4 linked regions of the Drosophila melanogaster genome follow. The protein of the gene in region 2 interacts with the protein of the main gene of each other region in a pairwise test. Each region holds a gene or a part of one and is shown on either strand. Other genes may lie near its edges. The genes, in order: l(1)G0020, CG43861, Strump and kumpel.

Region 1 (8,112 bases), on a different chromosome or scaffold from region 2:
TTGACCGCCCATCCAAAAACCGAAGTCGACACCCCCGATAAGGAGTAAGGGCGTCAGGAACTCGGCGACTGGGCCGCCGTGATAAGCGCAACCTGACAACTCAGCGCGTGTTCCTGACTAGATGTCACAGACCAGGTTCAGTAACTCTTGGTCCCGGGACTTCTGCAGTTCTGCAGTTCTTGAGTTTTGAAAGTCTGGGAGTTCCGCTCTGGGCGAGGGCCGCCTATCAGCGCGTGTGGATCTGATCTGGGATGAAAGGGACTGGTCCAACCTTCCATCATTGATGGTTTTGTTAGCGTAAATATCTTAATTCACCGCTTCGCCGCCCACGACACGCGTGAATCGTGTGCATTTGACATGGGAACCGCTTTCCTTTACCCCACTTCGCATTCGCGGCGAAAAAAATATTTCACGCAATTCATTCTCACACACACACACACACACACAACGCGATTTAACGAGCTTACAATGAATGCTTAATCCTGTTTTGGGAACAGGACTCCCAACATGCTCATATCCTCTTTTTTGTGGACTGCAACGTGGGAAGTTATGAATCATTGGAAAAGTGCGAAATGTTTTAGATAAAATCAATTTATCCATATTTATAAGTAATCTACATGGATATGGTGGTCTATATAGCCTTTGAATGAATCCATTTTATATTCCTTCACCAATCCTTTTGCAGCATATGTAATATTAAAAGTCAAAGCAATGAAATCCCTTTCCCAAACACAAAATAACCATATTTTATGTTTTTTTTTTTTATCATTATATGAAACAATCATTTATAAATTACCCACCAATCGTTATTAGCTGGGGTTTGTCTTTGCCATTCTGTAATTATATTCGTTAAATTCGGTTTGAAGCAAACACTTAAGCGCGAATTTGCTTTGTCCATTGTCAGGGGCAACTAATATTCAGGGAAACCTTGACCTGCCCGCCCCCAGATGGGTAAACAAAAATAGAAACGAAACATACACTGCCACCCCAGTTGCATGCATATTCATTCGGAGCAGTCACACACATGTGCCCACCGCAATCACAATACCATTTCCATTCATTCATACCCAATACCATTTTGCCCGAACCCCTCGCAGTTTGGCAGTTAAGTTTCAAATTACAAACCCAATTGATGCTAGTTAAAAAATCTGTGCAGGTTTTGCGTTACCATTCGGACTCATCCTCAACTTCATCCCCGATGAGCCCGGTTTGTTGTGATGCACTCGTGACAAGTCCGATTAGGTTAGCCGTACACCGCGGATCCGATCCGATCCCATCCATCCCATCCCATTCCCATTCAAGTCCCTTCCATCCCCTTAACGCCGGTCTCTAGCCATCTATTGTTGTGGAAAGTGTCAACATAGCGATCTATTTTATGCATAATTTGGCGTGCCAAAATGCGCGACTCATCAAAATGGTGTCATATGTTTTTAATCGGGGAAAACAAGGACCAGCAGGCAAACAAAAAAGAAAAAAAAAAAAGAGATACGGGGAGTGTTTGCCCGGTTGTCTGTCGCCTGCGGTTTTCAATTCGAAAAGTTGCAGCCGGTTGCTTATTTTTACAAAAGACAAACATAAAAAAGTTACATTGAATATTGAAAACTTATGTTGCATACACTAACTTGCAAGAGCACATATAAAATATTAGTCTTGAAATGTTCCTCGGAGATAAGAAGAATGAATTTAAAAAATAAGCTGACTTTTTAAATAAAACATTACAAATGTTTAAATTCAGTTTGAAGTTGGGGTCATGACTTGGCTAAGCGTACCTAACTTAACGAAACTCGCACTAAATTTGGTTTGTGCCCTGGAAAGATCTAAATTTCGTTAAATATTTAACGAATCTGAAAAAAGCGTTTAGTCGAGTTACATACCCATTCGCTTTTACTTTTTCTTGTTTTTTTTCGGTATATATTATTCTATTCGGTATATATAAATATTCTGATCAGAACATTCGAATTAATGACCCAAAACTAGGATGCCATATCTCATTTAACTTGTTACTTGCATTTGAATTGCATTCAAAATTGGGAATTATATATGTAATTCCTTAATCCAAAACAATAAAAATCATAGTTTTGTCAAAAGTCTTCAACTAACACTTAATTGCTTTATTAACTAGAGGGGAAATATTCTATTTCTTGCGTTCGTAGCGGAATTTGTAGACGGGCGCACTGTCCTTGGTTCCCGGCTTTATTTTCCTCGGCTTCAGTAGGCGTGGCTGCTTGAGGGTGTTCTTCAGCTGAATCTTCTGCTGGACGATGCCGAGTTCCCTTTCACGCTGCTCGCGTTTCTTCAGCTCGTTGATGCGCTGCTGTTTGATGGGGTTTGGTTCAGTTGTTTTCTACAAAAAATTTAAAGGCAATCGTTACACACAAGTAGAATCATAAATCATAAGTATAATATCAATTATAAATTAGTTTCTCACAAAAGCTTACAACCTCGTTGGTTTTAAAGAGGTGACCTACCGATTTCTTCTTCTTTTCCTCCTCTTCCTCCTCGTCATCATGCTTTAAAAGCCATTCGCCCATGTCCAACTCCATGTATCCGTCTTCGTCAAATTTGATACGTTTGTTGGCTGCTCCCTTAATGGCATCCACGTCCACCAGCGAGGCCTTCAAGCGTTCGATCTTCTTGCGCTCCATGGTGCGCTTCATCACCACGTACTTGAGGTCCTGCGTCTGCATGAGGGCCAATTGCTCGGGCGTGTGCTCGTCCTTCGTGTCCTTCTCGTGGTGCTCATCGTTGGACAGCTTGGAGTTGATCATATGGTGGTAGAACTCATCGGGATTCTTGTTCTGCGCCCGGCGGTACAATAGCTTCAAGGTCTTTTGCTTTTTCTGTGCGTCGATGGCTCGCTTCTTGTAGTCCTTTTTCTTCTCCAGGAATCCCAGATGCTGGCGCGACTCCGGCTGGTGGCGCTCCCTGTGCACCTTCTGGTTGCTTTTCGACGCATTCTTCCACGATGACATCTTCAATTTATGCTAATCCTCGACAGCAATCAAATATGTTCTGTTTTGATAAACGTGCGCTTGGGGAATTAGAGATGCACAACTACTCGATAAATGTATCGCATTGACTCAAAACATCGAATGTGGTGTTAATCGGGAATTTTTAAAAAAATCTCATTGGTAGAAATTCAAGCTGCCTTCTTGAAGACATCAATACAAATCCCACCCGAATTCTACGATTTAAGACTTCGTGTAAACAACATTCATGTGCATTTCACAATGGTAATATGATTGACGATTTCCGTGACATTGTAAAGTAGATAGTTGAGTCGCGACTATCGACAAAGCGCCCATCTCTAAACCGCACACGTGCATTTTGAACGGGCAACAATTTCATTTGCATTATTTACTTCGGAAAACCGGAGTTTTTAAGTGAAAAGTGAACGCAGGAAAGCCGAAGCATGGTGAAGAAGAAAATAGACAACCGGATACGCGTGATGATCGAGAATGGGGTCAAGCTGGGCCACCGAACCATGTTCATCGTCATCGGGGACAAGGCGCGCGACCAGGTTCCCATTCTTTACGACATCCTGACCAAGTCGACGGTCAAGGCGCGACCCACGGTCCTGTGGTGCTACAAGAACAAGGATGAGGCCATCTCCAAGTGAGTATCCAACTGTAGAACTATTACACAGAAACTCAGCTAACTAGATACATTTTTAGTCATGGCAAAAAGCGAGCAAAGAAGATTGCTGTGGGCAAAGTGGATGTCAATGAGGCGGACCTGTTCGATTCCTTTCGAGTGGCCACCACCATTCACGGCAGATACTACTCCGAGACGCACGCAGTCCTCGGACGAACCTACGGCGTGTGTGTGCTCCAGGACTTCGAGGCCCTGACCCCCAATCTTTTGGCTCGAACTGTGGAAACGGTTGAGGGCGGCGGTCTGATCATCCTGCTGCTGAAGACACTGCAGTCGCTGAAACAGTTGTACACCATGAGCATGGATGTGCACAAGCGATTCCGCACAGAAGCCCATCAGACGGTGACCTGTCGATTCAATGAGCGACTCATTCTCTCCCTGGCGGACTGCAAGCGCTGTCTGGTGGTCAACGATGACCTCACCGTGCTGCCACTTAGCTCCAAGACCATCAACGTGGAGCCAGTGAATGTAAGCTGATGCTTGTAAATCTTCTAAAGCAGCTAATACCATTTGTTTCTAAACTTTCAGCCCGCAGGCGCCGGTCGATCGCCCAACGAGGCTAGCCTCAAGGAGCTGAAGGAGAGCCTGCTCACAGTTCAACCAGCAGGAGCTCTGGTTAATCTCTGCAAGACCTACGATCAGGCCAATGCCGTTGCCCAGTTCATTGAGGCGCTGGTCGACAAGCAACTGAAGCCGCCCATGTCCTTAACAGCGGCTCGTGGTCGTGGTAAATCGGCCGCCCTGGGTCTGTCGATTGCCGCCGCCGTCGCCTTTGGCTATGTGAACATCTACGTTACCTCACCGCATCCGGAGAACTTAATCACGCTCTTTGAATTTGTGCTCAAGGGCTTCGATGCCTTGGAGTACCAGGAGCATGCTGACTACACCATTATACGCTCCACCAATGCCGACTACAAAAAGGCGATAATAAGAATAAATATTACGAGAAGCAGCAGGCAGACCATTCAGTACATAGCTCCCAGCGATACTCATCTGCTGAACGCAGCCGATCTTCTGCTGATCGATGAGGCGGCTGCCATTCCTTTGCCGCTGGTAAAGAAGATGATCGGTCCGTATTTGGTATTCATGGCCAGTACGATAAATGGATACGAGGGCACTGGCAGATCGCTGAGCTTGAAGCTCATTTCCCAGCTGCAAAAGGATAACAATGCAAGGCCGCCACTGAAACTGGAGGAATCGATTCGGTATCAGGAGAACGACGACATAGAAAAGTGGCTGATCAACCTGCTGTGCTTGGATGCCAGTACGGTGCCGAGTATTAGCTCGGGCTGTCCCACGCCGGATGCTTGTGAACTGTACTATGTGGACAGGGACGCCCTGTTTTCGTATCACAAGGCTGCCGAGGCCTTTCTCCATCGCCTGGTCTCCATTTATGTGTCCTCGCACTACAAGAACACACCAAACGATTTGCAGATGATGAGCGATGCCCCGGCGCATCATCTATTCTGTCTACTGGGTCCGGTTCAGCGAATGGACGCCCTGCCAGAGATATTGGTGGTTATCCAAGTGGCACTGGAGGGTCAGATCTCCGCCCAGAGCATCAGCGATTCCCTGGGCAGGGGCAAGAAGGCGGCGGGCGATCTGATTCCCTGGAACGTAGCCGAGCAGTATGGCGATCGAGATTTTCCCAAGCTGTGTGGCGTTCGCATTGTGAGGGTAGCCACGCATCCGAATTACCAGAGGATGGGCTATGGCAAGCGGGCCATTCAGCTGCTCAAGGACTACTATGCAAGGAAGCACACTAATCTGGAGGACGGTCCAGTTGCCAGCAAGGATGCTGGTAAAGGTGAGTGCACGCACGCCAATGGTTTATTATGCACTACATAATACTTTAAATTTTGCATAGGTATCGAGGAAGTGGAGGAGGAGGAACTTAGTCTGCTGAAGGAACAAATCCGGCCACGTAGTCGTATACCCACACTTCTGCAGCGCTTGCACGAACGTGTCCCGGAACACGTGGACTATATTGGCACATCCTATGGCCTCACCACCGAGCTGCTGAAGTTCTGGAAGAACGCCGGCTTTGTGCCCGTCTATTTGAGCCAGAAATCTAACGAACTGACCGCCGAGCATAGCTGCATTATGCTGCACACGCCCAATGCCACGCCCTGGCTGGGCCTGTACTACCAGGACTTCCGCAGGAGAGTCCTCAAGTTGATGGGAAAGACGTTCAGGGAATTCGAGACGAAACTCTGTTTGGCCTTGCTGAAGAACAAGTCCGTGGACACGGAAGGTAGTGCACTGAAAGTACTCGATAAGCCAATGCTGGATGTTTACTTCTTGCCGCACGATCTGCAGCGCTTGGAGAGCTACGCCCGCCAGCAGTCCGAGTTTCGTCTAATCATCGATCTGCTCACGGACATTGCCCAGCTGTATTTTCAGGGCAGGATCGATGGTCTGCAGCTTGACCTGGTGCAGCAGGGCATCCTTTTGGCTCTGGGCGTGCAGGGCAAGACTGTGGATGCGTTGGGTCTGGAGCTGAATATGCCGGGTAACCAGTTGTTGGCGAAATTTTTCGATGCCATGAAACGGTGCAATCAGTGCTTCCGGTCGGTACTGGAGGAGCATATCGAAGGCGGCATGCTGCGGGAGGCGGATCTGTCCAAGGGCGAGGAACTGCAACCGCTGACTCTGTCCCTCGACAAGGAGCTGGATCAAACCGCTCAGAAGCTGAGCAAGCAGCAGCGCAAGGAGCTGAAGCGCCTGAAGGCCGAGCAGCTGGACGAATTCCAAATCAAGGGCACCGAAGAGGATTGGTCCAAGGCGCTGGAAACAAACGGAACAGGCGGTGGCAGCGGGCTGCTCTCCGTCAAGAGGTAGGTGCGCCTATTTTTTTTAATAATGTGCTTAATACATAACCACGTTTATTTATTTGTCTCCAGTTTCGTTTTATTATAAACATCACTCAGTTAAAAAAAATATAACTTATTTCGTATTTGCCTCTCTTTCGTTTCAGTGGCGTAAAGCGACTGGATGGACCAATCGAGACGCGTGAGGATGGCGACCTGGCAGCTCCGCTGTCCAAGAAGAAAAAGAAGAACAATCCGAAACAGAGACGCAGTCAGGGCAAGTCCCTGATCTAGAGTTCATAATTTTTTTCGTTTGGGGGGAAAAAGAATGTGGATTTTAATTCTATAGAAAAGTACATATTGTTGTAAGCTCCGTTAAAAATAAAGAGACCTAATAACTGAACTATATCTTGATATTGGCAGTAGCCTTGGCTGCAGCGGCGGCCGCCCTGCGCCGTTCCTTGAGGTCATTATAGCTAACGCCCGGCTCCTTGTGGGAGTTGCGCTCGAAGCGCTTGACCTTGGACTTCTTGCGGCTGACGAGCTTTGTCGTGGGCAACATATTGTTGCGTTGCAGCGTGTGGAAGCGGTCCTTCAGCAGACTGCTCTCAGTCTTCACGTTGCGCAGATTTCCGGCGATATCCTCGGGCAGATTTACGTCTAGGTCTGGCTCCTCGAACTTGTGACGCCCCAGGCGTTTCGGCTCAAACTTGGCCTTCTCGGCGCGCTGCTTGCGGCGCTTCTTTAGATCATTCAGGTCCTCCTCCTCATCGTCTAGCTCGTGGCGAATCGATTTGATGCTGAATGAAGAAACACAATAGAGATTAGAGATGGACCACAACGCCATCAGTTAGAAACTTACCGTATCAGGTCAGCCGTCTGTTGCTTGAGCTTCCTCTTGAGCTCTGTTTGACGCGCCAGCTCCTTTTGCTTGAGCTCGTTGCGGCGAGCCTGCTTGCTCTTCTTTTTGTTCTCCACGGGAGCGTTGATTGTGTGATATGGCTTTTCATCATCGTCCTCCTTTTTCTTCCCATTCGTTTGGACATCCTCATCGAGCTCACTACCCTCCTCCTCGTCCATGCCTTGGCTCATTTCATTTAGGCGACGACGATCTCTCTCCTCGGGCGTCACCTTGGAGAACATGCTGGTGGTCACGCGCTTAAGGTGCTGTTCCTTCTTAATGATGCCCTCCTCGCGTTCCACCACCTGATCAATAAGCGCCTGATGATCCTCGGGTGCGGGATTGTAGCTCATGCCCGGATGCGGGAGTTCGAATTTCCTAAAAGACATATTACAATCAATAATAACCCGACTGCTTAAGGCCCAGCAAAGTGTGCTCACTTGGCTTTGGTGGTTTTGTGGTGCAGACTAGCGTGAGTTTTCACCACCTTCTTGCCAATATTTCCAGCTGTGTGCAGTGCCAGTTCGCGACTGATCCAACCCTTCTCGTCCTTGAGTCCAGGAATCTCGTCGCGAAAATCCACCTCCTGCCAGATGTCCTTCTCGACATCAAGCTTCTTGTTCTTCTTGTCGGCCAGACGCTGTTCCAGTTTTACGTAGTACTGAGCTCGATCGCTGTTGGCCTGGCGATGGCGCGGCTTGGTTGGATTGCACACCTCCAGCTCGATGTTACGTCCGTTCTTCTTCT
Region 2 (6,959 bases):
ACAGTGCGTGGTCAATCGGCATAATAAATCATTATAACGCCCACCGAAGCCAAAACTCCGATCACCGATTAAGTCATCATCAGCACAGGGCCAGAAGACCGAAAGGAAATTAAGTGGACTCAGCGACATGGCCAAGATCGGCGGTGGAAACAATGCGTCGTCGTCATTACTGGCGTGCCCAAAACTCGCCTTGGGGTCAGGGTCGGGTTTGGACCTGGGTTCGGGATCGGTTTCTCGACTTCTTCGGCTTGACGGGGTCCATTGACGCCAGCCGAGCGCCGTTGGCGGGGCTCACTTAAAAACTAATAGAGATTTAATCTGTTTGACTTGCCAATGAAGTCATTTAGAATGTAAATATTGCGACGAGTACAGATGGCTAAAGCAGCGTTCTCAAATGGAGCGTTCCGAGTGTGCAAAGCCTGTTTTAAGCTGAATGGAAGATAGTCTTATCCATAAGGAAGATACTTCTAATCTATTTACTTTTCTACTAACATTGTGACTTAATATGAGGTTAGACAGGAAAACTCAATAGAAACTTGGGTTCATTGGCTACAAGATTGGGTTTCGTCACCTCACAAGACGATATACCTGTTATTATCCCCACTTCCTGGCTTGCAGTTCTTTTCTAACACCGATTGCATCAAAGTCCTCCTCCGCTCAAGTGGATTATGTTTCTTTTTGCATCTTGCAACTACTACTACTACTATTACTACTACTATCGCCTGTCCTGAGGCACCTGTTGAACCCACACCGATGGCCATATTATTTACCTACATCTCAATCTCAACCATAATCACAATATTTACACCTTTCTCCGTCGCTCTTTCGATGCTGGCTTCCGCTCCTCGATGGAGGAAACAGTGTTACACAAATGCAAATCAATTGTAAATACAAATAGAAAACCTGGCCGAAAGCAGTGGAGCAAAAGGTAACATTTACTATAAATAACAAAACACCGTTAGCCTGAGGAAATCTTCGCCAAAGTTGGAGTAGTAGATACACCTGAAAACTGCATACAATCGATGTAAAAATTTTATATATAAAATTTCTCGATGCTATACAAATGAAATATAATTTGGTAAGTGTCCTCAAGTTTTGAGTAAACTGTGGCTGAAAATGCACTTCTACTTGTTTACCTAAAATGTTGCCAAATAGTTAGTTGCACAGTTTTTCTTTCGGTATTGCGACTGCAACTAGAAGCCTTGCGTTTTCTTGCCCTGGTGTGAATTTATTGCTTAATCATGCGACTTTAAAACGGCACGGCTGGCAGGTAAAGGCAGCTGGGTTTTGGATTCGGTTTTAACAAGGTGAGTGCTTGTCCAACTGGACGCGCTCCGTTTTATTTTCTGGCCATATTCTACGGCATCTTGCCGGTAGAAGAACGAAGTTCATTTGTGACTGCAGCTCAGTGTCGTTTGTTTTATTCGCCGAGTGGATGATGAATATATAATATAGATAGATAGATATATAGATAGATATATAGATGGTTAGATAGATAGGTAGATAGATAGATAGATAGATGGTAAGATAGATAGATAGATAGATAGATAGGTAGATAGATAGGTAGATAGATAGATAGATAGATGGATAGATAGATAGGTAAATAGATAGATATATATAGATAGATAGATATATAAATAGATAGATAGATAGACAGATAGATAGATATACAGATAGATATAAAGATAGATAGATAGATAGATCAACCGATAGATATATGTTAGATAGATAGATAGTTTGATTGCAACCTGCCAGCATGTTCGATTCTGGGCTGGCATGTTGAAGTTCGATTCGAACAAGCTGGTGTTTGAGTCCAACAATCTTGGGCTTAAATTCTTCTTAAAGTATAAAATAACAATTCCCTTAAAATTGAGATTTAGAGTTTTACTTTTGAGTTCTGGCTAAACTTATTTTTATTAGATAAACAACAATCCTACTTCTCGAACCCTTGCTTCTGCCTCTGCGGTCATTTTCGTGACCAGATTCGGAATTGTGAATAGTTAGGTTGTGAGCTCTTCTAGAACAGCTGATATGCAAATATGATAGAGGTTAGAATTGACCATGTTTTGATTATTTATAAATCAAATCAAGTATTAATAATATCATGTGATGATGAATTTTGTCGATTTAAAAAATGTGAAAGTTTTTGTTAGGTATGTAAATAGCAAACTAATAACAGAGGGAAATTTAGTTCCGTGTAAATCTTTCGACAGAGAGTCTTAGAACAGGATGTCTTGGAAACTAAAAGACGTGAGAATTAAGAACAATGCTAAATAATTTTAAATGAAATATATCCATTAAATATTTCTTATTAATGAGATATTTAAATAAGGATTTCTTTACACAGTTCAGTATTTTACATCGAATTTGAATATCACTCATACGCCTGTGTTAAAAATTATATTTTCACCTGGTTAGGAAGGAGAAAAACTGAACGGAGGCAAGGCAACATGTTCGAATCGAACTCGCGATGCTTTCGCGCGGGTAACTAACTGCGAACATAAAGCTCACCACTCAGTCTAAAAACGAGTTTCAACGCGTTCGGCTGCCGACCCGCTCGATTTTTGAATTCATTTTTTGGCCAGGCCCACTGAAAAAAAAAAGAGAAAAAACCAATCGAAAACAAAGCCTCATTGCGCCCCATTAGGCAAATGCTAAATTAGTCCGTTGTGTAAAGGTGTAAAGCATTATTTTGTCGAAATTCGCCTGCCGCAACAAACCCCATTTGCTTGTGTTGGTTTAAGCCCAATTGTTTGGCCAAAGTACCGCGGAGTTTTGTAAAAATATTTCTGGAAAATCTTCCCCAAAGTGCAGTGATTGTGTTTGTGTGCTCGTATCGTTTGTAGAACGGTAACAGGTAAAACAACATCAACAATCCGAGTCCGAACGAGCGGCCGATGTCGGTGAATATAACCATTAAAATGAAGTTAAAGTCGCTCCCGAGCTGCATACAAATGCTGCTGTAAATAAGTCTAAACAAACACTTGCATTTGGTGAGTTTCAATTGCCTCAATGGGCTTTTTTTTTGGGTCTGAGGTCGGGGGTGTTGGCCACATGTGGAATAAATCATAATTAGTGGGGCTTAAGTCTCGAATTGGGTTATGGGTACAACGGAAACTTAAGTGTGGGAATCAGTGCTAGTTGTCTTTATTTGTGAAACTATTTCGAACTGCGTTAATTGTGGCCCAGTGGTTGCCGTGTATACTTATCGCATTAGCGCGCTCAAGGAGCTGGAAATAATAGATACGCTAATAGATACATATGTGGTTTTAAAATTGGAGTAGATATAAGAAATCAAAATAAATATTCAAGCTACTTTTTCGCTTTACCTTGCTTAACAGGTACTTTAAATTGTGTTTTGATTTTAATCAGATACATTTCTGACCATCTGCAAGTTTATACTAATCCAAAACTATATCTATATAACTATATAACTCCACACCAACTTTTCCCTTCACTTTGTGAACACATTTTTCGGGATTACATTCTAAACAGAATTTCCGTTAGTATGAACCAAAATGTAGCTACTTAGTTTTCCGTTTTATTTGTTTCATTTTCTACTGCTCTCTGACAATTTTTGTCGCGAAAAAGTTTTTGGGATAGAAAGTTTATATTGTGAGCTAATTTGAGTTTGCATGGATAAAAGGGTAGAATTACGTTATATTTGTAAGTGTACATTTGGCCATGTGAAGCCATTTACCAATTCCAGGTAGTACACATTGTAGTCTTGTTTAAGCCGTTAACTCTGGGCGGACTTGAGTTCCTTGACTCTCGGTACTGTTCTGAATTATATGGAAGCAACCCGCAAATTTTCAGTGCTTGTGGAAATTATTTTCCGACAGTTGCTAATAAACCTGCCTACTTCATGGGCACAGCTCGCAACGGTCATTACTCATGCCAAATCTTCTGTCACTTCACACCTTCTCCGTCTAATTCTACGGTCAACTTGTCAACACGATGTGAAGTGGGGTCTGTGTGCGTGAGAGCTCTTAAGCCTTATGCAACAGCTCAAATTAGCCATGCAATTTGTACTTAACTATTTGCAGCGTCTTGTTGCAAGTTGGGGTCTTGGGGAATCGAAATGGAGGCTGGCGACTGGGGGCTGGTGACTGGAGAATGGAGAATGGAGAATGGGGTAATGGCTTCCACAGGGCACTCGCTGCAGAGGCGGGAATAATAAAATGTCCAAGGACTTGGAGCGGACAAGCGACAAGTTTATCACTTGTTAAGCCAAACGCTGCAGACATGCAGCCGGCTTCATCCTGCACCATTCCTACCCAGACGCCCAGTCCTACTCCTATTCCTACTGCATCCGAGCACCCCGCTCCGGGAATCCAACTCTAGACAACGTCGGCGTCGAGTGGCAGGCCCAGATGGGCGCGGCAGATAAGGAACTGGGCCCAGACCCAAAAGAGCAGGCCAAGAATAGGGCGTTCTGGGTCCGATCCTATTTGCATGCCACTCGCTTGAAGTGGGCCACACTCGGTCCGGATGAAAGCGGATATCAGAATACACAGAGACAAGATGTGAAGCGTTTGTAATCCAAATCCATTTACTCATCCGATCTTAAGTCCTCCAGGGAGGAGGTAGGTGTACTTTAAATCCTAATCTGAGTTTGGCCTCATACAGTCAAAATGTATATAAGATAAAACAAGAAAAACATGCATTTTAGTGCAATATATGTTGGATAGTTTGCGAATACTGGCGTTCGTCACCAAAGTTTCCTGATTTATTTTCTGTGCACGATTGGATGAGACAAAGGAAACATATAAAAAACATTTATTATTAATTGGTGCGTGCTAGTATTTATAAACCTGCTTTACAATTTCATGTAAATTATTTCTTTTATTCGTAAAAAGCTAGCCATATTGCATTAAAATACATCCGAATTTTTTTGTTGCTCTACAAACAACTACAAAATAGTTAATAATATCTTTAGACTGCAATCACTGTTTGGAATAAAGTTTTGCCATCTATAAGCCATCAGGCAAATCGTTTGCTATTATATTCATAATCCCAATCTAAAGCCAATTGGATGCCATTTTTGAGTATCCTTAGGCAGCTGGGACTTAAAGTTGAGTCTAACGATATGGTCCCGACCTTTTCGGGAGTTCCTCGAAATGGGATATCATCCACAGCCCGTCGCCCAAAACGGAGGCTTTCGCAGACGCAGCTGCTCCTCTTTCATTTGGGCCATTTAAATAATGGCTGCAAATGGCTGGGTGACAATAAAGAAGACCGGCAGCCACCACAAGTGAAGTTACCCAACAAAGCAGACTTCGGCTATAAATAGTTGAGAAAAAGTCAGGAAACGAATGTCAACTGAAAAATTACGTATACGCAGACATCGATGCTCATCGATAGTGAGACATGGGCTCGCTTTCGTTTCCGCTGTTGAGTCGAGCGTGTTGACTTTTCATTTTCCAATTTTTATTTAAATTTTTGTCTGTCGAACGGCGTCACTCTTGTTTATGACCATTTAATTGACACGCTACCTGGCAGTCGAAGCTCTTCTGGGAATATTTCCATTTATTGAGGCCATGGGACATAATTGATTATGAACTGGGGAAATTGTGCCAGTCAATAAAGAAAATCGCACTGTCAAGATCGAGGAGACAGCAGCTTTAAATGTGTGCACATGTCTGGTTAGCATTTTGGAAAATTGTGTATCAATGTCACTCAAGTGCAGCGTCCTTCGACTTCGAAATTTGATCCCTTTCTAATTAAAATATCTGTCCTTAAATATCAAACACAATGCAAATATTATGAATGTGCAAATATGTCAACGAATTATCCGTCAGATTGTCAGTAAGGAAATCTAGGAAGTCATTCTAAATGAAATGTTACACTGGAAAACAATATTCGAGGAATCGAAGATATGCATTCAAAAATAGCATGTAAAGCAATAATTCAAGTTATCATTTAATTTTATAATTTTCAGCAATATATAGATTTATTTTCTAAGTGCACCAAACGAGCCATTAGAAGGTAAGCAATCAGTTAATCTACCTCACAACTCAAGAGCTACAATTGAAATCCTCTATTAAATCAGCTCTCCACTCACAAGAGCACTTTGTAATTAACTCTTACAAATCTATTAGAATAAACTTTCCCAAGAAGCTCGACCAATTAGTATTATTAAAGTGTTGTGCTGTTCGCAGGCAAGAGTCCCTCCATTTAGCCAGGCCAAAAGAACAGGTGGCTAAACAATGCTAGTCACTCCTTTGGATCTGCCCGAGGTCGTCACTTTGATTTGCACAAGGTATTTGCAGGGAGCAGCAACAATGGCATTGCTTTTACGCAACTTTAATTAGCAGGACAAACAAGCTGTTCTGACACGCCAGGAGGTAATACCTTTGACTACACGCCCACCCACCCCTCTCGTCCTTTGGATGGCGTTTTTCCCTGGCAACCGGACAACCGTTGACAAACGGAAGGTAGCGGGAGAAATGGCGGGGTTGTTGTGGCACCCAAAATATGCTAAACACAAAGTCAGAGTTGAAATTTAATTAAAATGTTGCTGGCAAAAGCATTGAACTGTGGATATGCAAAATGCTCGCTTTCAGGGCCCATGCTGCGTATGCGCAATTTTTTGCCTATTACCAGCAATTAATGCGGCTATCTTCTTAGGCAGCCTGCTAATTGAATTTTTGGTTGTCCCAAGGGCTTCTTTGAGTTTGGCAGTCGCTGACCCTTTTGTTTTTCCTCTCGCACGTGTCCTGCAAAATTGATAAGCCATAAATATTCGTTATGCCTAAAAGCAACAGTTTGGCCACACAGCATAAACATAAAAGGGATGCCAATGCCCCCAAAAACCTTCTTTTCAGCTTGAATTCTATCCCTTTTCTCTCAAACAAAATGCCCAACAAAGAGCACGAAAAGTTTTGTTCTTGCAAGATTCCATGTTATGCTTCATTAACTTAATGCTGTTTTCACAATAAATTTTCATTCTTTCCATT
Region 3 (8,454 bases), on a different chromosome or scaffold from region 2:
ATTTAAATCTAAGCTTTTGTTGTACTTACTCAAACAGTTTATTCACATTAAAGGTGGCCTCTTTGGAATATAAAATTGTTTTAGATGCCTAGGCACACCCAACTAAAAAATATACACGATTTAAAAATGCTTTTTTAAACCTTATAGGCGGCATTGTTTTGACTGCATCCCACAATCCCGGTGGTCCAGAGAATGATTTCGGCATCAAGTTCAACTGCGAGAACGGAGGACCTGCCCCGGATGCGTTCACCAACCACATCTACAAGATCACCACCGAGATCAAGGAGTACAAGCTGGTGCGCAACCTGCAGATCGACATCTCAAAGGTTGGTGTAACCTCGTTCGACATCGCCGGAAAGCCCTTTACCGTGGAGGTGATCGATTCGGTGGCCAACTATGTGCGCCACATGGAGGAAATCTTCGACTTCGCCAAGCTGAAGGACTTCGTAAGTGGCAAAGCCACTGGAAAGCCTCTGAAGATGCGCATCGATGCAATGAACGGAGTAACTGGCTCATATGTGCGCGAGATCTTCCTGAACCGGTTGGGTGCCACCGAATCATCGGTGGTCCACACCACTCCACTGCCCGACTTTGGTGGTCTGCATCCTGACCCAAATCTCACATACGCCAAGGACCTGGTTGACACTGTCGCCCAGGGAGACTATGACATTGGAGCTGCCTTCGATGGAGATGGTGACCGCAACATGATCATTGGCAGCAAGGCGTTCTTCGTAACTCCCAGCGACTCGCTGGCGGTAATTGCCCACTACCTGGAGGCCATACCGTACTTCCAAAAGAATGGTGTTCAAGGATTCGCCCGCAGTATGCCAACTGCATCCGCTGTGGATTTGGTGGGCAGAAAGTTGGGCAAGGAAGTGTTTGAGGTTCCCACTGGATGGAAGTACTTCGGTAATCTCATGGACGCCGGAAGGTTGTGTCTGTGCGGAGAGGAGAGCTTCGGAACTGGCTCCAATCACATCCGCGAAAAGGATGGCATCTGGGCGGTTCTCGCTTGGATCTCCGTGATGCAGCACACGGGTAAAGGCATCGAAGACATCCTGAAGCAGCACTGGTCTGTGTATGGACGCAACTATTTCACCCGCTACGATTATGAGGAGTGCGCTTCCGATCCTTGCAACGAGATGGTGGCCACCATGGAGAAGACCATAACTGCTCCGGAGTTCGTCGGCAAGAGCTATTCCAGCGGCGGAAAAACCTACAAGGTCAAGGAGGCCGACAACTTCAGCTACACAGATCCTGTCGACAAGTCGGTGGCCACGAAACAGGGTCTGCGCATTGTGTTCGAGGATGGCAGCCGCATTGTGGTGCGCCTCAGTGGAACTGGAAGCTCGGGAGCAACCGTTCGGTGAGTCACGATGAGATTTAATATCAAACAATTCTTTTCAATAATAGATGAATTGTTCCTTTTCAGCTTGTACATTGATTCCTATGAGAAGGAGAATGTTTTGGGCCAGGCCAGCGTGATGCTGAAACCCTTGATCGACATCGCCCTGGAGATCTCTCAGCTGCCCAAGTTCACTGGACGCAACGCTCCAACGGTTATCACGTAAAGAGTTCCTGTCAGCGAAGGAACACTGAGATTACCAACCCATCCAACTACAATCTCCTCTTGTACCTCAGCGAGGCATTTCCTTGTTATGTTTCGGATTTATTAAAGTTTGTGTAGCCCAAACCTGTTGGTTAGTTTTCATTTTAGCAGTGTGGATAAATACTCGTACTCGCTAAGTATTATGTTGGGAATGCGCTGCTCCAGAACTCCGAGTGGCAAACGAGCAATGCGTATAAAGGCTAGAAGAAAGTGCAGGGCGGTGACCACCTCGGGACCCAGGATTTCTTTATCCCTAATAAAGAAAAGTGTATGTCATCTGATATTCGTGGATTATCTTGTAACTAAAGTACTTACAGTAACTGAGCCTCCGATACAGTCACCACGTACTGACTCATGTAGGATATATACAGCATCTTGACATTCTTGTGGAACTGCTGCAAGATCGTTACTAGACCCACAATAAAAGGCACATTATCAATGTTATCTTTGGCTGATTTTGGCAACAGACAATCGGTAATCGTGGAATGCTGCATACGACCCAAATGGGCAATGGTGAAAAGAAACATAAAGAGGGCCATGTTATGGGTGTTCTTTGTGATAAGGAAGACTTGCTCTAGGGGCTCAAAGTTTCCCGTATAGAGCAGGGTTTCCTGCAGTTCTGTCAACATGACCACACCCTTTTCATCACAGAGATCCTTGCTGAGAGACAGTTCTAGTAAAAGGGCTCTGTTTGCGGAAGAGATTGCAAATATATAAATATTTTTAGGATGTTATAGTTTGACTTACTTGTTCAGGGTGTCCGCCGTGTTCTCCAGCAACTTGGCATCACATTTACTGCTAAAGCTTAGCTCTCCTGCAATTTCTCTGCGGAGCAGCTGCTTCTGTCCAATGCACAAAACCCAATCCAACAGCGTGGGCCACACTTTCAGCCATCGTTGGGTGTAAGCTTGATAATACTTCAAAGGCTGCTTGGACACCTCCGGAGTTGGGAAGTCCCGGGCCTCCAATTCCCGAGTCAGTGCCGCTAACGTATCCACCCACATACGATCCGAGGTCAGGTTACGCTGTAACCGTTCCAAGTTGCGCTTTAACTCATCAGCCAACATGTGAGCGTAGAGGCGCTCCAATCCCACCATTCCTGCCGGAGCCAAGGCTTCTCTAAGTATCTCAAAGAATCCAGAGCCGGCAAGAACTTCCTGGTGAGGAGCCTTCTTCTCATACCAAGTGCTTTTTAGATCCAGAAAAATAGTTTGCTTGGGATCTGTGCACCGCAGAATTTCGTGGGCCAGACGGCCAATGAAGTTGTTAGACGGATCTCCCAACAGCGGTGGAAAGTTGGGAATGGGTATGATCTGGCTCTGGTGCTCCGATTGAAATTCCTGCACTTTGTTGCGGAGGAAGGCATTGCATTCCTTCTCCACATTGTAGTTAATAATGCGTTGCGATTCCTCCAGCAGGATTCGAAGTCCCTGAACTCTTAAGTAGTCCTCTATATATTCGAAGGATCTTCGATATCCCTCTATTGTTTTCGCCAGAGCTTGCAGTTTTTGTTGAAGAAGCTGCACAGGAGTCTTGCCTTTCTCGGGCGTAAATATTAGGCCCAGATTGTAGGCATTTGCCAGATGATTTACAAGCTCCTTGCGTATCCCATCCTCCAATAGTTGTTTAGGATCCAGCTCGATTACTCCCACTAGAGTTGTTTTCATCATAAGAATTCCCTTCGTAAAAACAGCAATGGAGTTTGTAAGCTGAGCCACCTTGGCCCGCTCCTCAAACTGGGCATAGTCCTTTAGACGCTCCTTCTCCACTTTAGTGGGAAACTCCTTGATAACATTCGTAAGGAGATAGATGATCTTAGCCAGAATACTGAACATGGTCTCTGGAACAATTTGCAGAACGCGGCGCAGGAAGTTTGCTAGCTCGGTGCTGTAATAGTTTGACACAGAGACCAGATCCTCGCTTCTGGCCTGATTGATCCGCATCAGCGGCACCTCCAGGGTGCTGGCCAACTTGAGAAAGACCGCTCGTATACCTATTACCGCCTGTGGCTGTCTTTTGATGTGTTCCTGCATGGGAGGAGTGAAGTCAAACTGCAGTAGATGCCAAGCATAGCTGAAGTCAGTGATCATCTGGATGTGAATCTCAATGTCTTCCTTCAGGTTTATTAGCTGTGCCATTTGATTGAGCATGTCTCGCGTCTCCTGTAGTTGCTGCTTCACCAGCATGTTGGAATGAAGGTTGTGATACTCCTGCACATCGTCCAGTGCTTGCATCACCTGAATAATCAGCCTTCCGGACTTTTGGGGCCTGCTCAATTCCAGTTTCTGGAGACGTCCAGCAACTTCGCCAAACCATTGCTGCAACTGAGGATTCTGTTCAATCTTGGACAAAGGCCTGGAGCCGGCAAAGGCTTCGCTCAACTCATTGAGCCTTTGCATGGCCTCCTCTCTGCTTTTCGTCCAGCGCTCCTCCTTAGTCTGCTGAATCTCTGCCAGGAACTCCCTCACGCTCAGCTCCATTTGGCTGCAGTTAAGCAGTAAGTTATACAGCGTATTCCGATTGAATTGTAGTTCGTGGAGCACACATTTTTGCACTTGACCCGTCAAAGTAGCTGTGTGAGCAAAGATGAAAACTTCCCTTGAGGTGTGCAGGCAAAACCAGCGGAGCAGGACATTGGATTGCCTCATCAGGTGTATGATTTTGTTGGCGTGCTCCAAAACAAAGTTGTCATTTAGAACTCCTTCACGAACAATCTCCTGGGTTTTTTGAGTGATCTTGCCCAATTGCTCCTTTTGCTGCTGACAGAGTGCTTTGATTGCCGGTGGACTTATCACATTTTCAATAGCAGATCGAGCGGCTTTGAAATCCAACCAGGCATCCACCAGATTCACTGTCATGCCCATGTACACGGATATGGTCCAGTTGTCGCAAAAGAACTTGTCCACAATTTCGCGCATCTGTGAGCCTTGGGAATGAAGAACTTGCGGGCAGAAATACAAGCACACATACAGCATGGCCGCCTGAGTAGACAGAGCCGTGGAGCGATGGGCAGGATGTGGATACAGGTTCAGTTGGTTGTATATATCATCGCACCGCAGACGAGCCACCACTAGATCCACGAAATTCTCATCGAAACGGAAGCGAGAGAAGTAGGCCTCCGGGTATCGGGGAACCACAAGGCTAGCAGCTCTAGCGCCTGCCTGTTTGCCACCCAAACCGAGCACTTTAGCGGCAATCGACGGATGAACATAGCCCGTAGATCGGAGCAGGAGACAAACATCATGGATATTACTCTCGTCTCCGCTAGGCGTTGCATCTCCTCCACTATACCGATAGTAGGCGATCAGCAGACGTTCTCTCACATCCCCCGGAATGTGAAAATCGACCATGAGGAGAATCACACCAAAGAGATACAGGGATTCGCAGAGCAGTTGGCGGCCCTCCTCCTCCTGAAGTACCGTCTCCAGCGTCTGCTGGATATAGTAGCCAGTGTTCAATTCCTCGATATATTGCTGGAGATCGGAGGCATAGTGATGGATGCTCTGGAAGGCCAGGTAAAATCGTGTGATTAGCGGAAGCTGGGCACGTGCCTCATCATCGAGTTCGGTCAGTTCCTGAAGGAAATCAGGGTGTTTAATACGGTGTGGTCTCGGGTATATTAACATCAAATTACCGGACTTTGTTCGATCCTCCTCTCGTGATCTTCGGCTATCTTGAAGTAGCTGAAATCCAGAATAAGCTCGCCATATTTCGCCTTATCAGCTTTGTTGTCCAATCTGGGGAGGAGTGGTCACCAATTATTCATTAATTGCAGGTTTTTAATCTATGTTACCTATAAATACTGGGCACGTAGTCCTTGAGGCGCAGGATCTCTGCTATTATAGAATTACCCACCGACACTATATTCAGCAGATTCTGCCCACAGGCATTATTGTCATCCAGAAAACTCATTATGCATTTCCTTGATTTCTGTGATTCTAACAAATGCCTCTCTGGAGAAAGCTTAATTTGTATAATCACATTATTAATTAAAGCTGTACATACTTTTTATCAGTCCACGAATTATGTTATTGTTTGTTTATATTGTCTATTCATTTAGTCATATCAATTCTTTTTTGCACTAGTGTATTATCTGCAGTAATCTTACATAAGTCCGGTCACACTATTTTGTTGTTATAGAGTTACCATGAACTTCGAAATGTTGGCGCATAAATTTGAAGTGAGAAACTGATGATAACAACCTATGAGGTACATAATTTAATAACAATTATTAAATTTATTAAAATGAGATATGAAACTACTATTGTATTGAATAATAAAATTATAATATTGGCTTAATAACTCTATTCGATGCATTAAAGTGCAATAATGATGGAAGATCTAATGGTTTCCGACTTTAGATTCACGATTTCAATTTTAAAATTTAAAAAAGAAAGCAAGTTGTAATACGACATTAAGAAAATTGCCAATTCGTTATGTGTTTCTGGTTGAATCCAAACGTGAATTTGGTTCTATTTATTTTGTGTTAGATTTTCATTCTATGGGAGCTACACAAAGTTTCAGTAGGATTAATTAACATAATAAATGAATATAAAAATATTAATAAAATTAATTAATTCAACTACATAAATTGTAATGATTTAACTAGCTAATTAACTGAGATACCGTTACATATTCCATACGACATAAAATAATAATATGCATAAGCAAACACTGCGCACTAAAATAAATTCTGCATATTCCCAGCTAATAATTCTCCGTGCTCAGTTGAAGTTTTCTCAATTTTTTCTTTTATTTTTTTGCTTAATGTTAAAACATAATAATAATAATATATATATATTCAGTTATATGCCTACCAAACTATGCGCTGTTTACGGTTGCATCTGCATTTTGTTTATCATATTAATTTTTACACACAAAGAATTTGCTTAGAATGGTTTCACTTTTTGCTTAGGTTTACTGAATTACATCAATTGTTGTCAATTTATTTGTTATAATTTTTTTACGGGACTCTATTTTACAAGATTTATCGAGCTAATTGTATAAAATTTGTCTATTTTGTGTGTAGTTCAGATTGGATTAGGGGATTTATGGATCTATGGAGCCTAATGAATCGCCATTCTTAATGGATGAACGAGCGCCACTAATAAAAACATATTTTTTCGGTGTGCCAAGTTGTCTGCGCTCGCATCGCTCCTTGCCATCGATAATTTGTTAATTACGTTTGCGTTTTTACCTAGTTATCTATTAGAAAAACCGTAGCCTAGAATGTATTTACAATTTGTTGGGTTTGTTGTGGTCTTGCCTAACGATTGATTTCCGTTTATACATTATGGGTAATTAAAAATTACATCTTTTTTAAACAACTAAACCTAATTCAATGGATGTTTAAATGGATATTTTTCGGTTCTTTTTTTGATGTGTTCTTTTGTTTTGCTGTTGCTGAACTTGTTTCGATCTAGTTGGTTTTAAAAACCTTTATCTGTAATTCGGTTTCGATTTCTCTTCACGCGCCCTTGCTTTTTACTTAAAATCTAGGAATTATGGTTCGTTTTCGTTTAACAAACTAAGCTAAATAATTAAATATTAATAATTATGTTTATATCGTTTAGATAAGGCCGTCAATGCAGTTGATGCAAACATTATTATGTTACAAATTACAAATCAAACGCCCGCTGACTGCGCGCTCTCTTTTACCTTCTTTTACTTTCCTCTCTATTATTTTATTCTCTTCGTTTACTCTGGTTTTGTTTTGTTTTTGGATTGGTTTGGTTTAAGTTTTACAGAGAATTTATTGGAAAAATAAACGAGCTTTAAATTAGGCTTAAAATCAAATACGATTAGAATTTAGGATTTATGTAAATAAATGTAAAAATAGAAATTAAATAGAGCCGCCTAACTAAAAAGAAACAACAACAGGGGACACGCGACGCATTTAAAGTTGAGGCTAAAATATATTGCAAGTGGATGAAATCGTAAAGCTGTATAAAACAACAACACGACAGTCCACGGAGTAGGAGGATCGGCGAGGAGAAGACGGTGCGATTGATGGGCAACAGCAGCGATCACTTGAGGTATGTCTTGAACAGCATGGAACTGCGACAGAACTCCCGCTCTTGCTCCATGTAGAAGAGCATGTCGCGCAGGTTCACACGTTTTATGCGAGGCCGTAACGTCGTCGGCGCAGATCCCGAGCTGCTTAGCACTCCGCCGCCACTTGAACCCTTTTTGGATAAACACAGCTTAATTAATAACCGTTCTGGTAGTCAACTATCCTAAATTTTAGACACTATCTTTTTGTATAATTGCACCATACATACCGCTCCCGAACTGACTGTTTCGCCGTCTAGCTTCAGCTTTTTCCGAGGTCCAATCGCCTGCAGCGCCGTCAGATTGGCATCTCGTTGACGCAACTCCTCCATTTCGGCGCGTTGCATCTCCTTGGCCTAAACAACAAGAGAAAGACTTAAGTAAACGGCTACAGAGAAAGACGATTGCGAACACACCCTCGCCTTCATCTTGGCCTGCTCGGGATCTTCCACCCTCGACCGTGACTTGGCTGCCCGCAGCAGCATCTCACGCTCCAGTTCCTCGTGTCGCTTCTGCTCGGCCTTGTCCAGCTCCTCGAGAAACTTGATCTGACCGCGCACATCCTTGGCGGGCTCATAGCGTGGATCCAACTGTAAGAAATAGGAAATCAATATTTTCATTTGAATATAAAACCATTTCCAACAAACCTTGATGACATCAATGCGGTGCTCCGCTATCACAGCCAACTTCTCAACGATGTTCTTCAGGCGCTCCTGACAGGCGTGCGATATCAGAACGGCCACATCCTGCGACGGCTCATCCAGTCCCGCCTCCGAAGTAATTGCCCGTATTCT
Region 4 (7,141 bases), on a different chromosome or scaffold from region 2:
TTATTTTAAGTTTACACATAAGCTAGTCACATTTAACCAAAAGTTATTTACAGAGAGAAAATATTAAAAAATACTTACAACCTATATATCGTTGCATATAGTTTAATCGACTTCAACAAACGAAAGCCGATATTAAAATAAATACAGAAACAAGTTCGGACGATAAGATGTGCAGCTTAACTCTTTACGAACTTTAGCTTATGGATGGCCAACTTTTCAGACGCTTTTCCTTGTAACCACAATCGCTTTTCATTCCCCCCGGCCTCTTCACACATTCGAACAGAGAAATACATTTGATTTTTCCACTCGGCCAACTTCTGATTGCCAGTTGATAGCCGGCCAGCCGAAGGAATAATGCATATTCAAGCTTTTCATTCCCATTTCATGGTTCTTGGCATCATCGCAACTCCCCCAAGGGCCAAGTTGATTTCTGGGCTTTCGTCTGGGCATAAATGGGCCCGGGTGGATATCTAAAAAAAAAAAAGGCAGAGCAAGATATTAAAACAGAGTCTGGCTTCTGGCTAATGGATGCTGGTAGCTGGCAAGTTCAAGGCCACGACTTGCGTGGGCGATGGATACTCCCTGGATCCGAATTTGGATTTGATTTAATTGGTCTTAATTTGTGGGCCGTGTAATCAATGGCACTGAATAGTTCAGTCTGCCAAGAAATACGAATGCGATTACTTAACTAGATTAATTGAAGTTTACATGGCAGTGTGCTAATTTTGGAATTGTGTTTTCGGCATTTAGGTAGAAATTAAAGTATTTTTTCCTCCGCGAAATGTTCTTTAGCACTTAGTCAACGAGGCGTGGCAAGTAAAAAACACACGGAAGCGTTAAATTGGCTCAAGTGTGCACATCGAAAAACACACACAACAACTATAAAGATATAAGAAAAGGAGGAGGTTGCGACTTTAAGATACTTACTAAAGGGTAAATTGGGTATACTTGGTCTAAGGTAAAGGAAAAGATAGGCAAACTAATAAAATAACTAAATAAAATAGGCTATATTGGCTATATAGGAAATATATATGGTGTTAACTGTTCCGAAATTTAGTTTACCCCTAAGCTTTTTAAATACTGGGTATAGAAATGAAAAAGCACACAAGAAAAACTGAGCCAAAGTCGGTTTTTCATTTTCGCCTGGTTTTCACTTTGCTCGTCGGTCGTATAAAAATAATTAAATTTTTGCCGCACTTTGTGGCATTTGTTTTGCTTTTTGTTTTCTGTTTTTCTTTTTTTCCAGCGCCACAGTTACAGTGGCCTGGTTTTATATTGCGGCTGACACTGGCCACTATCTATGAGTTAGTTTGGCTCCTAAATTTCACACATAAGTACTTTACACACGAATTTAAATCGGATTTTATCTTTTGCTTTATGGCTACGGTTACATTGTTCATCCCTTTTTTTAATCTTTATTATCTTACTATTGGTTTCCGTCTGGTAGCTAGTACGTCAGACTATATCTTTTTATAGAACATGTCTGAATATAAGTATTCACAAAATGGGGAAGCGTTACTATAACATGAATTAGTATAGACTACTAATCTGCACTATGCAACGTTATTTCGATTAATTCAGGGCTTTTATTTACAAAGTTTATATTTCCAGCTAATTCATTTGTACCTAATTATTATTATTTTTTTGACTTTTGCTCATATTTTAAGCTGTCCTTTTTGCACTACACCTAATAATAGAGAGCTCTTACTGCTGCCCCCTTCGTTTTTTGAAGGCTATCCTTCCTTACAGGGAATTAGCTCCGTAAAAGATTACCGAAAAGCCGAAGTCACGTTGTGTGCGTTTTGTAGGTTTCTGCAAATTGAATTTACCTCCTACATTCGACCCTGCAGCAGACGTAAGTAATTGCTGCAAATGATTGTCAAAAATCAATTAGTTGGTGTGCTGGCTATATATATATTATAGTACAATACCTTACAACATATTTCGCTGGAAATGATAGCCTTTGTGCAAGTGCAATCGAGTAATTGGCGCACAATTCCAGCGATGATATCATTGCCATTGTGCGCCCATTAATGTGCATTAAATCCAATAAAATGGCGTACACATCTGACTCGCTTTTCGGCTGTTTCTATGTATTTATTTATTGTGCTGAACTTTAACTTGATTTGCCTGCTAGTCATTGCCGATCGGATATGGCCATGCCAGCACACTTGGTTGGACATTTTCGTAAATTCGATTCTAGAAATCAAATTACTGCGAAATGGATGCCAGCATTGGTGAAATTCATGCTCGACATGGGCAGGCGCTTAGGGAATTTAGTATTAATTTATAGGCCCATGTACATCACGCATGTGTCACGTTTTAACCTTGACTGATCGCATTTGGTAAATATTTAGTATTCCTGTTTAATCTCCGGCGGACACAGCGATTTGGCTCACGCCCCAACGCCTGATAACCGTGTTACCTCTGGAAAAAATCCACATCACCATTCAATTTTTATCTAAAACCAGTAGCAGCCCGTTTGAGTCAGCGAGCTAAGCGTATTATCGTGGAAATTTACCCTTTTTCTTTTTTAAAGTTGTAAAATCCATTCCAAGGGATATGCATTTTTATATACAGCATCGCGCCAGGCAATAAAGCCACCGACGCGACACGTCCGCGTACAAAGAAAGTAATTTACTATCTGGCAGATCTTGGGCTGGCCAGAGATACACACCATCACACACCGAATGGGGGGTGTGCACATATGTGCGCTTATCTATCCAGATCCGACATGCCCCTGGCAATTTAGGCGATAAAGCTTTACACAAAGCCTCTGCCCACACTCTTACAAGATTTGCGTGAATTACGATCGGCCAATGTGACGATGATGCTGACTTGGATAAGATCTCCGGAGATTTCTAACGCAGCTTGCGGCGGAAAATTAGTTCAGTGCTCGGCGGTGATTTGGATCAAACACTTGTGTGTGCTCTCATCCAAATCGAATTGGAATTGTCCTGAATCCGAAACTCAAGGATCTCGAGAGCGTGTGCGTTATATATCGTCTTAAAAGAGACTTGTTAATATCAAACTATACTTTTAGAAGTGCTTTGCCCGACTTCAATTTCTGATTGCAATTAAAACAATTTTGTATAGCTTTTGATAAAGTACACATTTACATTAATAAGAGCTATTGTGATAGAATCCGTTGACCTTGAATACGTCTGCGACACTTGCGTTCTAAAGATTTAAAAAAATTTCATTTTATTAATAATTTTTTTTTATTTCTCTGTAAAGAAAGCGAGTTTTGATTTTATTTAACATTCAACTATTTTTTAATTACCTTGCGATTGAGAAGCTAGAAACTTTCGAGTGATTATCTTTAAAAAAAGCCCTTTAAGTCGGAAGTGGCCTTCTATTCGTAAAAACGAACCATACTAAACGCAAAGTCGAATTTAATTCACAGTGATTGTGCTCGTGTTAAACTAATGCAAAAGTAATCAAAGCCGGACACATTAAAGTGACGCGGCTGGAAGTCCATAAAAATAAACTACATAAAAGCAACTTGCGGTGCCGGAAATAATGTCAACCACTGCCGATCCCGTGGCGCTGGGGGTAAACTCCCCCGTGGAGGATGTAGTGGCCAAAACCACCACAACGGTGGCCAATGCGATTGCGAAGACAGTGGCCGTAATTAGCAGCACGGTCTCAACTAGCTCCACAACTGGCGCCACTTCCACCATTTCAACGAGTAGTAGCACACCCACTACCTCGACCACTTTCGCCTACACTCCCACGCCCACTCCCACTCAATCAGCATCCCCATCCCTGGAGGATGGTGAGGAGAAACTCAGCGTGAAGGATTTAAGCCAGGCCCTGCAGCATTTCGGTATTGTTGATTACTTGGTCTTCATCGCCATGTTGGCGGTCTGCGCCGTTATCGGCTTCTATTTCGGCTTTATCGAAAAGAAGCAAAAGAAACAGAAGCTGGCCGGCAAGGACGGCGGTGGGGCGGCGGGCGTCGAGGAGAGGCGTGGCTCGGAGGCGCTGGACTACCTGGTGGGCGGACGGCAAATGAAAGTGTTTCCGGTCGCGCTGTCACTTGTGGCCAGGTGAGTTACAGCTTCGGCTGGGGTATATATATGTATATGCAAATGGTAAATTGGCCCGGAGAATTTAATCCTGGCTGGCCAACGGGATGTGCACGGGAAACAATTTGAATACATTTGGCAGGGTTTCAAAAAGAAAATACGGATCTAACTATATTTTGTTAATTTAAATTTAAAAAAATGAGTTCAGCTCCAGGAGAAAAGAAGCTGATCAAAATAAGGATACTTTTTTGCCATTATTTTTCGCTGTGCAGACCTGCCTAATTACTTTTGACACGGCCGCAGAGAAGGTTGAGCATCCTAAATGAAAGTGTGACAGGAAGGAAGCTTGCAAATTTATTGAGCGATCCCGCTTTAAGCCGGCATAATCCGCAAAAATTGAATGCTATGCATTCGCTTGAATGCGGCTAATATTTGCACAAATTATCGTAATGGGCTAAGCCAAGCCCAGGCAGATCAATCAAAATACTTTCAGTCAGTTCGCCTTATTCCATGCCATTGGCCAAACGTGCGTATACGTAATCTAGGCAAAATAGATAATCTGGCCCAGCCCAGCATTGTCTGGCGAATTGTTTGGCAAGGGCAAACAGTGAAGCATTTTATTTAAAAGTTTCCGACTCCGGACAGGGCATTGCGTAAACAATATTCATTGTCAGGGTCAATGGATGATGAGTGCCTTGGTGTTATGTTGGTTGGTTGGATGCCTTTGGTTTGTGCTGATATTGAAATGGCTTGCGGAACTTTGCGAGTAAATATATCTGGCATATAAATACAACTTAGCAGCTCACTGTGTCTAAGCCGGATTGAAGTTATTTAAACTTGTGCTCGGCCGCAAACTCAAATAATTTGCCCAAATTACTTTTTCTTTTGCTGTTCGGACGGCCAAGTGACCTTGGTCCTGCGGAGTGGGGTGCCTTGTATTTGACACATTTTGGTCAAGCACCTTTCGAAGGGTGCGGTCCCTTTGTCTTAGCCGTGTGCTCGACGCATTAATGACCAGGCCGACAGGTCCTGTTCCCCGAAATCCTGGCCGTGCTCTTGGTCATTTGCCTTGCCCAATGACAATTGTTTCGTGAGCCTTTTATTGTTATGGCATTCTATTTGTTGTCGTTTGCTTTTTGCAACAAATTCAGCCAACGTGCCTTGAATTACAATTACATGGCATAATTTTTTTTCTTTCTATAAAACGCCCTTTGTTCCTTGCTGATTTTTTCAATTTTTTGTAAAACAAATTGTTTTGTTGTGTGTGTGTCTGCATACTTTAACGTCGCTTGTTATCAACTTTTAATGGCATTTTTCTCTCGGCCGTCAACTTTCTGTACCGATGGTGGCAATTCATTTTGTTTTGCGGCCAAAATTGAAATGATGATTGTTATGGACATTAATCATTAAAATCAGATTACCAAATGCAGGGCAAGGAAAAAGTTTTCTCCGCCAAATGCGACTAGACATCATTTGTTTCGGATTGGATTAAATTCATAGCAGCAGCACACATGCTTAATATATAATACCAAAATATTATCTTTACCATTCATAGCAAACAAACTTTTAAGATTCAATATGGTGCCATAATGCCCTTAACCTTCGCCAATCGATTACGTTAAATTTATTTTACAAAAGTTGGCCTACCTTCGTTATAACTTTGACCAACGACTAAGTGACCATAACTTAATTGAATTAAAAAATTTTGTTCAAGTTTGCTTTGCGGGATGGCAAAGATGAAAAAAAAAAACTTTGGCGGGGCGAAAATAGATCTTGATCAATCGACTGGCAATTAGCTGAACTTTAAGCTTAAGACATAATTAGCGTGAACTAATTGTTGGTATTTCACTTTTAGCTTCGTGTCTGGAATCTCGCTTCTGGGAACATCAACGGAAATCTATGTATATGGCACGCAGTACGCCTTCATTCTGGTGACCCTGGCCATTTCGGGAGCTATTTCGTGGTATATATTCCTGCCTGTATTCTGCAATCTCCAGCTGACATCCACCTATGAGGTAAGCCGAACGTTGTCCAATCCAAGTATATTGTGTGTGTTTACCTATTGAACTGCATGTTACGCATTAATTCTATTGGTTTGAGTATACGAATTTGGAATCTTTTGATATTCGACGGCATGTTAATGTGTAAGTAAGGCCAAAGCCCAACTGCGAGCAGGGAGTACATGTTCGGTACGAAAAAAAAAAACACGGGACAAAATCGGTATGCAACCAGCTGTAAGAACTCTTTGTATGGCTGTTTATTTGCATGCACGAGGTTGTGGCGCACAAAGACAGCTACAATAAGCCCGAACAATACCAATTGTACGAGCTGACAAACGGATAGTCGTAGTTTATAAGTTGGTGTTGGCTACATGTCGTATGAGTAATAGTCGATTATGTATGCGCCGCGTTGCCGCACACACACATTTACGAGACCACTGCGTGTGGCAGTGGGTGTGTGTGTATATTTGAGCAATCCTTACTGTGTGTTAAACGAAAGACAACAAACCATTGGGAAAAAAATATTTACAGTATTTCGAGATGCGCTTTAACAAATCTGTTCGTCTGCTGGGATCCGCCTTCTTCACGGGTGCAAATGTAAGTCTAATCCAATTACAAGTGAAGAGAAAATCGTTACGTTCCTTCAGATCCTGAAGGAATACTTTTAAAGCAATTTTGATGCTAAGTGTTTTTTTTTTCTTAGCTTATCTGGCTGCCCATCGTCATCTATGTGCCAGCGCTGGCTTTTAATCAAGGTAAGATTATCTTAGAGCATCGAAGTAAAAGGGGTACAAGTTTTAAAGGGACCTTAAAGAACAAATATGAAATTTAATGGTCTATAATACGTACTTATTGTCAAGAACCCTACATAGATATTACAATGGGATAATTGTAATCTTATTAATCCGGGCTCTTAGTTCCACCCAGTAAAGGTTAAATTATTTTTCCAGTTACTGGAATAAATATCCACGTCATCACTCCAATCGTATGCCTCGTCTGTATATTTTATACAACGGCTGGGGGGCTGAAGGCCGTTGTCTGGACAGATGTGATCCAAACCGTCATTATGATAGGTGCGGTTATCTTTGTCATCATAAAGGGCACCCTGGA

What was found.
Region 1: the proteins of CG43861 (region 2) and l(1)G0020 interact in a two-hybrid assay, tested with the Drosophila melanogaster proteins (one large-scale study listed by BioGRID).
Region 3: the proteins of CG43861 (region 2) and Strump interact in a two-hybrid assay, tested with the Drosophila melanogaster proteins (one large-scale study listed by BioGRID).
Region 4: the proteins of CG43861 (region 2) and kumpel interact in a two-hybrid assay, tested with the Drosophila melanogaster proteins (one large-scale study listed by BioGRID).

What each region holds. Positions count from the first base shown.
Region 1 is NC_004354.4:8,715,466-8,723,577, reverse strand, and holds l(1)G0020 (lethal (1) G0020), read left to right. Parts: upstream 1-3,300; 5' UTR 3,301-3,412; coding exon 3,413-3,615; intron 3,616-3,674; coding exon 3,675-4,122; intron 4,123-4,182; coding exon 4,183-5,461; intron 5,462-5,521; coding exon 5,522-6,491; coding exon of another isoform or gene 6,492-6,495; intron 6,496-6,512; exon of another isoform or gene 6,513-6,631; coding exon 6,632-6,758; 3' UTR 6,759-6,865; downstream 6,866-8,112. Other genes in the region: CG1789 (uncharacterized protein), read right to left, coding at 2,135-2,344, 2,469-2,972; CG1785 (uncharacterized protein), read right to left, coding at 6,868-7,264, 7,327-7,743, 7,806-8,112. UniProt on the Drosophila melanogaster protein: RNA cytidine acetyltransferase with specificity toward both 18S rRNA and tRNAs. Catalyzes the formation of N(4)-acetylcytidine (ac4C) in 18S rRNA. Required for early nucleolar cleavages of precursor rRNA at sites A0, A1 and A2 during 18S rRNA synthesis.
Region 2 is NT_033779.5:20,012,854-20,019,812, reverse strand, and holds the start of CG43861 (uncharacterized protein), read left to right. Parts: upstream 1-2,530; 5' UTR 2,531-2,993; intron 2,994-6,959.
Region 3 is NT_037436.4:16,119,254-16,127,707, reverse strand, and holds Strump (strumpellin), read right to left. Parts: upstream 5,707-8,454; 5' UTR 5,615-5,706; exon of another isoform or gene 5,563-5,614; 5' UTR 5,522-5,562; coding exon 5,403-5,521; intron 5,347-5,402; coding exon 5,244-5,346; intron 5,185-5,243; coding exon 2,357-5,184; intron 2,297-2,356; coding exon 1,925-2,296; intron 1,863-1,924; coding exon 1,709-1,862; 3' UTR 1,656-1,708; downstream 1-1,655. Other genes in the region: Pgm1 (phosphoglucose mutase 1), read left to right, coding at 148-1,366, 1,433-1,571; Taf4 (TBP-associated factor 4), read right to left, coding at 7,636-7,794, 7,891-8,016, 8,077-8,250, 8,308-8,454. UniProt on the Drosophila melanogaster protein: Acts at least in part as component of the WASH complex which may regulate wash nucleation-promoting factor (NPF) activity and is required for its membrane targeting during endosomal sorting.
Region 4 is NT_033777.3:25,904,141-25,911,281, forward strand, and holds the start of kumpel (kin of rumpel), read left to right. Parts: upstream 1-2,881; 5' UTR 2,882-2,989; intron 2,990-3,406; 5' UTR 3,407-3,522; coding exon 3,523-4,052; intron 4,053-5,886; coding exon 5,887-6,046; intron 6,047-6,562; coding exon of another isoform or gene 6,563-6,628; intron 6,629-6,734; coding exon of another isoform or gene 6,735-6,786; intron 6,787-6,981; coding exon of another isoform or gene 6,982-7,141.